3 linked regions of the Stegostoma tigrinum genome follow. The protein of the gene in region 1 purifies or fractionates together with the protein of each later gene. This does not show direct contact. Links are inferred from orthologs where the notes say so. Each region holds a gene or a part of one and is shown in the gene's direction. Other genes may lie near its edges.

Region 1 (3,750 bases):
GTGGGGGGAGGGGAAGAGCTGGGCTGGTTGTGAGGTGCAGTGGGGGAAGGGGAGATTTTGAAGCTTGTGAAGTCCACATTGATACCATTGGGCTGCAGGGTTCCCAGGCGGAATATGAGTTGCTGTTCCTGCAACCTTCGGGTGGCATCATTGTGGCACTGCAGGAGGCCCAGGATGGACATGTCATCTAAAGAATGGGAGGGGGAGTGGAAATGGTTCGCGACTGGGAGGTGCAGTTGTTTATTGCGAACCGAGCAGAGGTGTTCTGCAAAGCGGTCCCCAAGCCTCCGCTTGGTTTCCCCAATGTAGAGGTAGCCACACCAGGTACAATGGATACAGTATACCACATTGGCAGATGTGCAGGTGAACCTCTGCTTAATATGGAAAGTCATCTTGGGGCCTGGGATAGAGGTGAGGGAAGAGGTGTGGGGGCAAGTGTAGCATTTCCTGGGTTGCAGGGGAAGGTGCCGGGTGTGGTGGGGTTGGAGGGCAGTGTGGAGCGAACAAGGGAGTCACGGAGAGAGTGGTCTCTCCGGAAAGCAGACAAGGGTGGGGATGGGAAAATGTCTTGGGTGGTGGGGTCAGATTGTAGATGGCGGAAGTGTCGGAGGATGATGTGTTGTATCCGGAGGTTGGTGGGGTGGTGTGTGAGAACAAGGGGGATTCTCTTTGGGCGGTTGTGGCGGGGGCGGGGTGTGAGGGATGTGTTGCGAGAAATGCGGGAGACACGGTCAAGGGCGTTCTCGATCACTGTGGGGGGAAAGTTGCGGTCCTTAAAGAACTTGGACATCTGGGATGTGCAGGATGTGCTCTCTGTGATGGCCTAGCAAGGCATTCAGTTCAAGGGTAATTAGGGATGGGTCTCAAATGCTGGCTTTGGCAGTACTGCCTGCGTCCCTCAAAACAATCAAGAATACCATCAACAAGAGGAACTGAGTCATCCGACTCCTACTTGTATGATGCTTCTGAGATGTAATAGCACCACATTTGCTGACATAATGACTATGCCTGCGTTCCTTTTGTCCTGTTGTTCAATGTTAATTATTTCCAGTTGCAATGCTTATTTGTGTGATTGAATGATGCAATCTTCTCCCAACTTTTTTTGTTACGAAATATGTGCCAAGGGGGCAGTGAGATGCTGAAAGCTATTTCACATTATGGATTGTTTTTTGGCCCGAGGGACTGTTCAGCTTTAATAACAGGTCCAATTGCAACACAGGAAATGCTTATAGCAGTCAGTGCTTCATTGACAGGCTGACTGCACACTTTTCCTGTTGGTATTACTGCAAACAAACTGCAATCCTCTCTGTGCCTGCTTGCATCCAGGTACTTGCTCTCTACTTTCCATTTCATGTCTATGTTTCGTTGGATGTCCCACGAGTGCAGTTGTCTGACTGTGGTCCAAAACTCTCATTGGCTGGTTATTACGCAAAACTTGTTGTCTTAATTCAGCAACCAAGGAGTCAAATGGAAACAGCACTGGAGGTAATGGCTGTGTTAAAGTTTGAGCTAGGGATATATGAAAATTGTGAGCGATTGTTGGCGTTATTAACAATGAATGAAAGATGGTCAGTGCCAAATAATTCTAAAGTGATGCTTTTGGGTGAAAGGGCAAAGTCTGTGCTTTACAAGGCTTTTGTTTTTATACAACGTATACCACAATATCCCAAATCACTTTACAGCCAATGGAATTCTTTAGTCACCAAGTGGTCAATATTACAGCCCACTTGTGCATAGCGAGCTCCCACAAACAATAATAATGACCGGATAATCATTTCGTTTTGGTGATTTTCCACAAGGGATTGGCTTGGATACTGGTGATAACTGCACTTTCCCAGCTGAGAGGATAATCAGAGCTTTGGTATCATGTTTCATTTTACAATGCAGCACTTCCTCAGTACTGTATCGAAGTGTCAGCCCAGAATTTATGATCCTATTTCCATAATGGATACATGTCCACCACCTTCAGACTGAGAATGCTACGACTGAGAGATAATCGGTCTACTGCTTGATACAAAGGTCCTGCAGCATTATTTGAAGAAGCGATGGATAATAATTATTGCTGAATTAACATCACTGAAGAGATTATCTGGTCATTTACCTCTTTTGTGTTTATGGCAACTTAGTGTATACAAATTGCTAGTCATCTTTCCTATATCATAAGTGTCAGTACATTTCAAAAACACTCCATTGGCTGTAAAGCAATTTGGGACAGATTCTTATGTGAGTCGGAGGAAGGAGGGAGCAGGAAAAGCAAAAGAGAAGATCTGAGATAATAAAATGTGAGGCTGGATGAACACAGCAGGCCCAGCAGCATCTCAGGAGCAGATCTGAGGTAGTGTGGAAGGTAATAGAGATCAAATAACAAACAATTTCATACTTCAAGAAGCAGACTGATACGACTGTGAGACAGAAACAAAATTCTGAATGAGTTGTGAGTCACTATTCCCATTCATAATGGAACCACACAAATTTCTAGGCCTGAAACGTCACCTTACCTGCTCCTAAGATGCTGCTTGGCCTGCTGTGTTCATCCAGCTCCACACCTTGTTATCTCACACGAATTATGGGATGTTTTACTGTTTTGGAAGAGGAATTGCAAATCTTTCTGTAATCTGACTCAAAACTATTGTTTTACTGTAATTGACCTGTAGTGGCTTGCCTCTGTTAGAATTTTCTCTGTAAATGGATAAACCAGTTTGGTAATGTTGTCAAAGTGTCAGGCATGACTGATACTTTGAAGTGACATGGATAGATCTTGAAAAGTATTAATTTATAAAGGTATTTAACATAACTGTGCAAATTTGTCATGACGTAATGAGCAAAAACAGTTCAACTATTCTCGATTCTGTACAGTGTATGGCACTCTGCAGTCCTTCCCTGCATTTGCAGGGAAGTTATACTTACAATACACAATGCATGACATATAGCCTTAGGGGTTTTACGCATGTTTCAACTCATTACTACACTATGGCAGGTGTGTATTAGACAGTGGCCCTTCCCCATTGAGACTCTGCAGAGGCTGGCCCAAATTACAGTGTGCCTCTCCAGCACATTGTCCTGAACCTTAGAATGTGCCAGTCAATACATGCGACAGTCACCAGCTGTTTGCATGGAAGATCAGCAAGTTTCAGACAGACCTAAGAATGCCTACAGCTGAGTGGATGGTCCTCAGGAGCAATTATGTTTGTCTTGCTACATGTCCCTGGAAACAGCCCATACACCACAGAGTCCTACTGCTCAGCAAAACCTCAACAAAAGTCACTGCATCTGTTTCCAGATTGAAAAGATTAATTCCAGAAGGAGTGTAAAGCAGCCAGCTTTACACATCCACGTCCACAAATATTCATTCGCTCCACCACTAATGTTCAGTTGCAGCAGCGTGTGTCCTTCTTACCACTAACCAAGATATGGTTTTGAAAGCTCTGACAATGAAATATTCTGCCAACTGACTTTGAAATTCTGCTCTGTGAACCATCCAACAGGTTCCATCATCTCATTGGGAAAAAAGACATGGTAACATTTGATGTTGTCGAACCTAGGGTGTAGGGTGTCTACTGGGTACATTTTTACCCCTTTATAGAGAGGGTTATACATGGCGTCCCATTTTAGATCTCCATACAAAATGGAACAAGACTGCCACAATAGGGCATGGACAAAATCTTCACCATGTTGAGCAACAGAAGGAGCACCCTGCAGGAACTCACTGCAATGGAGAGGGAGCATTACTCCTACATGCCCCAATTCTGA
Region 2 (3,750 bases), on another chromosome or scaffold:
TTAACGATTTGTTCAGGTATCATAGTAGCCTCGGCCAGGTGGCACTTTAACCCGGAACAACCAATTTGTATCCTCAGGCAGCATCAACGTTTCGGGCCTCGACCCTTCTTCAGAAAATCGGGTCTAGGCCCAAAATGTCAGCTTTCCTGCTCCTCTGGTGCTGCTTGACTGGCTGTGTTCATCCAGCTCTACACCTAGTTATCTCAGATTCTCCAGCATCTGCAGTTCCTACTATCTCGATACAGTTCTACCAAACGTTTTGTTTAAAACTTTTAAAGCTATTAAAATATTACTGTCTACTAACGCTGAGTCACACTGAATTGCTGCTTGAGGCATTTTCCCGATAAGTGTGAAACTATTAAATAGGACCGTCTGTCAATCATTGTCAAGGAGCCCTGCTTCCTGACGAATAACACCAATCAGCATAGCGCACGGCAAGTACAATGGCGACGGCCGACGGCTGTATTTAATTGGTATTACATCAACCAATTATAAATAAAGAAATCGAAGAGAGTGGCCAATCAACGTCATATTAATGCCAGAAGCCCGGGCTAGGTTTATTCCTATTGGTCAGAAGGTTACTATCGGCACAATGAGCTGCTAACGCCACAATGGATGGGTGGAAGGGGAAGACAAACCAGCTTTTAAAAGCCAACCCGGTGGAGCTGTGCGCAGAGTGGGCGGGACGACAATGATTGACATCAAAGTAGACCAATAACCCTAATGAGTGCTTGGCTACAACCAATCAGCCTCGGCCGTAGGCCGGGCTCGGTGGTTGTTGTGGGGGCGGGGTAGACATGGGTCCGTGCTGAAATAGAGAGAGAGAAAAAAATACCGTGCGCAGAACGGAAAACTTGCCGGGTGCAAAAGTTTTTTTTGTAAGCGTCTGCATAGTTACGGGTTGGGTGAAACAATGAAAGGCTTGTTTTCCTATTCTCGAGAACTTTCGGCTTAGCTCGCCTCCTTCTGCTCCCAGCCCCTTTTATTTTGTTTTAAATTCCGGCCGTTATTTTAAACGTTAAACGGCCCTTTGTTCCTTGGAACGGTTGTGTTTTTTTTGGGTTGGCCGCTCGTTTGCTGTCAGACTGCAGAAAGATGGACTGCGAGCCGAACCGGGCGCGCCTGATGTGCATGTTGTGGCTGACATTCGGCTTCTTCGTGGTGGAGGTGGTGGTGAGCCGGCTGACCAGTTCGCTGGCCATGCTGTCTGATTCCTTTCACATGCTGTCAGATGTCATCGCCCTAGTGGTGGCCCTCATCGCCGTGCGATTCGCCGCCAAAACCCAGTCGACTGCCAAGAACACGTTCGGCTGGATCCGCGCCGAGGTGATGGGCGCGCTAGTCAACGCCGTCTTCCTTACGGCGCTCTGCTTCACCATCGTGCTGGAGGCCATCGAGCGCTTCAGCGAGCCGCGGGAGATCCAGAACGCGTTGGTGGTGACCGGAGTCGGCGCCGCCGGGCTCCTGGTCAACCTCCTGGGACTCTGCATGTTCCACGGCAGCGGTGGTGCCGCAGGCGGAGGAACGGCCCACGGCCACTCGCACTCTCACTCGCACGTCTCCAGCTCGGAGAGCGGCAGCCAGTGGCTCCGCAAGAAGAAGAGGGCCGAAGCCGAGAAGTTGTCCGGCAACGGGACGAGCGTCCGCGACCAGGAGGAGATCAACATCCTAGTCAGCGGTAGCACCATCAACGGTGTCAACCCCGACAAGCAGGATGTATTCGGTACGTGTGGGAGCGGGCCTCCCCGGGTTGCCAACGCTAGATACTAACACCTTTTATTTCTCTCGTTTTCCTCCTCTTCCCCCCCCCCCCCCCCCCACCACCAAGTTGGGGCCAGCCCTACTCAGTAGGAACGGGTCTGCAATCTCGGCCTGATCGAAAAGAACAAAACCCTTTGTGTGCCCCCAGTGGGAAGGTGAAAGATTCATTCACTTTGTGTTTGCTTGCAGTGAAGTGTCATTACCGATTTGAACTCGCACCGCCAGCTCATCTCTCTCTCTTTAATTCTGAGTTCGCCCGAAAAATCCCAGTGAAGGGACCACAATTGGGATCCACTGGCAATCGTATTTCTTCTGTGCCACTACTTGGCGTTGTTTTAGTATATTTTGCTTCAGATGACGGCTGAGCTGACTTTAAGCCACAGAAGTAGCCAGTTAACCTCAATTTAAATTTCTAATCAGTTAGATTTGTGCTTTGTCCGGTTTGTGGCTAATACGTAGTATTATGTCAGTTTGTGCTTCACCAAACAGCACAGTATTGGATGTCGACGGTGGTGAGGTGTGCGACGCAACCTATTTGTAGATATATTTAATCAACTTTGTTCAGGTATCATTGTATCCTAGGCCAGGTGGCACTTTAACCCGGAACAACCAATTTGTATCCTTTTTGGCATGTCCAAATCCATTGCCTATGTATTCAATATGTCAATTTGCTACTTGCATTTACAAAGCTTTCAATTGTACACACTATTTTCTGCTTTTCTCCAACGCAAGACCTACAGTGCAAAGAGTGGTGTTTATGTCAGTACTCTTGCTAACATCATAAAATCATGTTTGATATAATAAAACTAAAAAATTGCTACAGCTTAGTATGAAGCCATTTGGCTCATTGTTTCTGCACCACCTGCCTAATGAGCAGTTCTCTTTTCTAGTCCCTTGCTTTTTCTCCCATTATTCTGCATATTCTTCATTTTCAAGTTGCAGTCTAATTTCCTTTTGAATATTTCAGCTGTTCTGTCATATCGTGGAGGAGTGCATTCCATACCATATCCACTTAGTGGTATGTAGGCATTTTGTTTTGTTGTGTGAATAGTAAACTAGATTTTTGACTTCTATCACAATTGGCCTGGTTTCATTAAACTTGGCTTTTGATTCTGGATTTATTAGTTGGGTGGGAGTTGAGTTAGAATTCTATGTCCTCTTGTTCTAAATATGGCATGTAGATTAATAGACCAGTGACATTATCGTTACCACTAACTCTGTAGTTTCTTGTAAGCAGCGGGTCAGATGTTGCATAGTACAAGGTAGTAAACTTTGCTGTCCTGATTTAACTATGTTAAAACTGCCCAACAAATTTTCTTTTGTAATCAAAGCCAATCTGTAAATGTATATTACTGGATAGTTTTATGTAAGCTGTATGTATCTTGAATTACTTTTGTGGTTGCAAGGCAGTAGTAGGAAAAAAGAAAGCTGTGTACAATTTTACAACTCAAAGGCTGTGTTACTCCTAGCAAAAACTGCATCCCAAAGAAGCCCATTCTTATCTTATGTCAACATAGTCTTCCATTTCCATTTTTCTTGTAATTATCTAAAATATTCCAGAGCAGTATTTGCAAGAACAAAATGGACTTGGTCAATATATATTTTTGATGGCTGAATTAATTCTGGGGCCACCAAAGTATTGATTGCACACCACTTCAGACTTTTTGTGAGCTTGGAGAGGTTTTGTGTATGTTACAAAAATCAATGAGAGATACAAATTTTGTTTTTAACTATTTGATTTTGGGTGCAAGGTTTCTTTTGGGTTGCTTTTTTATCTTGTGAATGTGCTCCGTGGAATACACTTTTGAATAATACAGCTGCTGGAATGTGATTTTAAAACTGTTTTGTGTTTATGTTCCCATTCAAGCTTTAGCATCATTGGTGTACAGTTCTCCTAAGATATTGGTCCATTTTAAGAGTCCTGTAGCTTGTTCTTCCTATTTTTGATTGTTTTTACCACTGCTTTTTATATGTAGAATAATATAGATT
Region 3 (3,750 bases), on another chromosome or scaffold:
CAGACAAGGGTGGGTAGGGGAAAATGTCTTTGGTGGTGGGGTCAGATTGCAGATGGCAGCAATGTCGGAGGATGATGCATTGTATCCGAGGTTGGTGGGGTGGTACGTGAGGACGGGGGGGATTCTGTTTTGATTGTTATTGTGGGGAAGGGGTGTGAGGAATGAAATGCGGGAGACACTGTCGATGATGTTCTTCACCACTGAGGAGGGGAAAGTTGCAGTCCTTGAAAAACGAGGACATCTGGGATGTGCGGGAGTGAATGCTTCATCCTGGAAGCAGATGCGGCGGAGGCGGAGGAATTGGGAATAGGGGCTGGAATTTTTGCAGGAGGGTGGGTGGGAGGAGGTGTATTCTAGGTAGCTGTGGGAGTCGGTGGGCTTGAAATGGATATCGGTTTGTAGGTGGTTCCCCGAGATGAGACAGAGAAGTCCAGGAAGGTGAGGGAGGTGTTAGAGATAGTCCAGGTGAAGTTGCTAGTGACCCTTCCTCACAACAATGTGTTCATTGGAAGAACCCACATTGACTGTATGGGCCGAATTGACACCATCTGCACTGTGACTAATTCTGTCATTTCAACATTAGTCTTCAACCCACTGCTGACTCTTTCTGAGAGCAAATCGAAACTTAATCTCGCTGCCCGTTGTTCTGGAGAATGGAAAGAGAAAATACTTCCTACCAAGACGCAGTTAGAAACAAGCCTAACAAAGTGTGAGGCTGATTGAACACAGCAGGCCAAGCAGCATCTCAGGAGCACAAAAGCTGACGTTTCGGGCCTAGACCCTTCATCAGAGAGATCCTCAGACATCCTCTCTGATGAAGGGTCTAGGCCCGAAACGTCAGCTTCTGTGCTCCTGAGATGCTGCTGGGCCTGCTGTGTTCATCCAGCCTCACATTTTATTATCTTGGATTCTCCAGCATCTGCAGTTCCCATTATCATAGAAACAAGCGTATTGCACAGAACCCGGCCTTCCAGCAGGAGGCGCAGGCACTCAGCAGGGGGCGGAATGCGGGGAGGCACGGGCGGTGGCGGTCGGCAGGGGGCGGAATGCGGGGAGGACCGGGCGGTGGCGGTCGGCAGGGGGCGGAATCCGAGGAGGACCGGGCGATGGCGATCGGCAGGGGGTGGAATGCGGGGAGGACAAATCGGTGGCGGTCGGCAGGGGGCGGAATGCGGGGAGGACAAATCGGTGGCGGTCGGCAGGGGGCGGAATGCGGGCAGGATCAGCCGGTGACGGTCAGCAGGAAGCGGTTTGCTGGGAGTTCCTGTCCCCCGGTTGCTAGGCTGATTAATCGTGCGGCGGTTGATTGAGGGTCAGTGCCGGTGCGGAATTTGCTGATCCTCCCCGTACACACCCACCGGCTTCCGGGAAGCTGGAGCGCGGTCTCGGTCCGTTTTACTGGACGTGGCTGGCGTCTCGGCTAGTTTCGACATTAGAGCCGCCGGTTTCGGGCCTGTGACTGTGGCGGCGAGGAGCAGTTCCCTGGGGAATGATGTGAGGAGGAAGAGGCGGTGAGATCGTGCGCTGGGTGAAGGATGGAGGATAAATACACCAACAACATCATCTCCAGCACCAGGCTGGGCCCTGTGGATGCACCCAGCTCCAGGTAAATGTGTCCCGGGACTGTCAGTGAGCCGATCAGTCAAAATATCAGGAGCGCCAACGGACTACATAGGACGGAACACGTTTTCTTAACAAAGTGGTCAATTACCAGAGGTAATAGATTGCAGAGTGAGAGGGAAACTGAGTAATTTATTCACCCAAAGGGTAGTAGCGATTGGAACTCCCTAAAAAGCTCTTGGAGCTGGAACGTCTCATTGCATTCAACCACATCACTTTGATATACACATGATCCCCCCCCCGCCCCGTCAAAATCCCAGGCCTTATCTTTCCTGAAACGTCAGCTTTTGTGCTCCTGAGATGCTGCTTGGCCTGCTGTGTTCATCCAGCCTCACATTTTATTATCTTTAAACTGTACTGGGCATGACTAAAGATGCAGTTCTCAAATTTAAACAGGTGTGGAAAAATTGATTTGCAGATTTAGAGTTTTCTCATCTACTTCATGACTGTTGTTGGTATTGGGATAGCAGGGTTAATATTCTGTATACTTTTAAAACAAAATGTTGGCATGATCCAAAATTCTGCATGTTCTATTTCTGCTGCTCAATTTCTGTGAGGGTTATGAGGAGTAAAGTAGGAGACAGCATTGTTTTTAAATTTATGAATATTTATTTATATTTATTAGTCAGTTTTAAATTATGTAGGATTCGATACTGTCTTGTAAAATATTAAATAATTATGACTGCATTTAGTTTAAAGTAGCACAGTGATTAAAAGCTACCTTAAAAGAATGAGTCTGACAGCATCTGTGAAGAAAAATCATGTTACTGTTTCATGGCCAGTGTCCCTTCCTCAGAACTGATGGTAGCTAGGAAAATGTCAGTTTATATTCCAGAAGATAGGTTGGGGGGTGGTGGTAAGGAGTAAATGTCAGATAGGAATAGAGCCCAAAGTGACAGAGGAACAGTTGGACAGTCAAAGGAGTTGATAATGATCTGGCTGGGAGGGTGAATTGTTGTTAACGGGGACTGTTAGTAACGAACAATTGGTAGTGTCTAATGACAGGCTATGTGATAACAAGGCCTGGGGTGGGGGCTAGGACATGGGAGATTTTAGGCCCTAAGATTATTGAACTTGATTTTGAGTCTGGAGGGCTTCAGGGTCCCCAAATGGAAAATGACATGTTCTTCCAGCTTGTGGTGTGCTTCACTGGAACACTGCAGCAAGCCTGAGACACAGATATTGGTTAGGGAACAGGGTGTTGTGTCAAGGTGGTAGGCAACTGGAAGCTCAGGATCTCTTCTGTGGGCAGAATGTGGGTGTTTTGCAAAGCGGCCATCCAGCCTACCCTTCGTTTCCCTGGTATAGAGGAGACCACATTCTGAGCAGTGAATACAGTAGACTAGATTGTGGGAAATGCAGGTAATGTGCTGCTTCACCTGGATGATATGTTTGGGCCTTTGGAAACTAGGGTGGGAAGAGGTAAGTGGGGTAGGTATTACACCTACAGCAGTTGCAAGGGAAGGTGCTGTGGGCAGGTGTTGGGAGTGAAGGAAGACTGGACCACGGTGCCCCAGAGGGAACGGTCTGTGCGGACAATGGAGGGGAGGTGTGGGGGGCGCGGGGGATATGTGTCTGTTGGTGGTATCTCACTGGAGGTGGTGGAAATGGTGCTGATGATCTTCTGGATGTGGATGCTGGGGGTGGTAGATAAGGACAAGGGGTCCCCTGTTGCTGTTCTGGGAGGGAAGAGAGGGGTTAAATGCAGAAGTGTGGGAGATGGGCCAGAGGACTCTTTCAACAACGATGCTGAAGAATCCAAGGTTGAGGAAGAAGATTGACACTGGAGCCTCCGAAATGTCTATGTTGGCATCATCTGAAAATATGTGACAGAGTCGGAAGAACTGAGAGAATAGAATGGAGTCTTTACAAGAAGAAGAGTGCAAGGATATATAGATCAGGTAGCTGTGGAAGTCAGTCGGTTTATAGTGGATATTAGTGGCCAGTCTATTCCCAGAAATTGAAACAGATAACGAGGAAGTGAAAGGAGGAGTCAGAGATAGACCAAGTGAAAGTGAGGGCAAGGTGGAAATTGGAAGCAGAATCAATGAACGTTTCCAATTCCAGATGAGAGAGGGAAGCAGCACCGATGATATCATCGATATAGCAGAGAAAGTGTTCCGGGTGGTG

The links.
Region 2: the proteins of csgalnact2 (region 1) and slc30a1a purify together in Homo sapiens (co-immunoprecipitation; 3 studies listed by BioGRID and IntAct, counting the BioPlex papers as one, with this or other methods). This does not show direct contact. The link is inferred for Stegostoma tigrinum from reciprocal best matches to the Homo sapiens genes CSGALNACT2 and SLC30A1.
Region 3: the proteins of csgalnact2 (region 1) and slc30a5 purify together in Homo sapiens (co-immunoprecipitation; 3 studies listed by BioGRID and IntAct, counting the BioPlex papers as one, with this or other methods). This does not show direct contact. The link is inferred for Stegostoma tigrinum from reciprocal best matches to the Homo sapiens genes CSGALNACT2 and SLC30A5.

What each region holds. Positions count from the first base shown.
Region 1 is NC_081390.1:21,179,146-21,182,895, reverse strand, and holds the start of csgalnact2 (chondroitin sulfate N-acetylgalactosaminyltransferase 2), read left to right. Parts: upstream 1-1,365; 5' UTR 1,366-1,485; intron 1,486-3,750. UniProt on the Homo sapiens protein: Transfers 1,4-N-acetylgalactosamine (GalNAc) from UDP-GalNAc to the non-reducing end of glucuronic acid (GlcUA). Required for addition of the first GalNAc to the core tetrasaccharide linker and for elongation of chondroitin chains.
Region 2 is NC_081362.1:54,334,439-54,338,188, reverse strand, and holds the start of slc30a1a (zinc transporter 1a), read left to right. Parts: upstream 1-790; 5' UTR 791-1,095; coding exon 1,096-1,723; intron 1,724-3,750. UniProt on the Homo sapiens protein: Zinc ion:proton antiporter that could function at the plasma membrane mediating zinc efflux from cells against its electrochemical gradient protecting them from intracellular zinc accumulation and toxicity.
Region 3 is NC_081356.1:109,705,225-109,708,974, reverse strand, and holds the start of slc30a5 (proton-coupled zinc antiporter SLC30A5), read left to right. Parts: upstream 1-1,202; 5' UTR 1,203-1,535; coding exon 1,536-1,606; intron 1,607-3,750. UniProt on the Homo sapiens protein: Together with SLC30A6 forms a functional proton-coupled zinc ion antiporter mediating zinc entry into the lumen of organelles along the secretory pathway.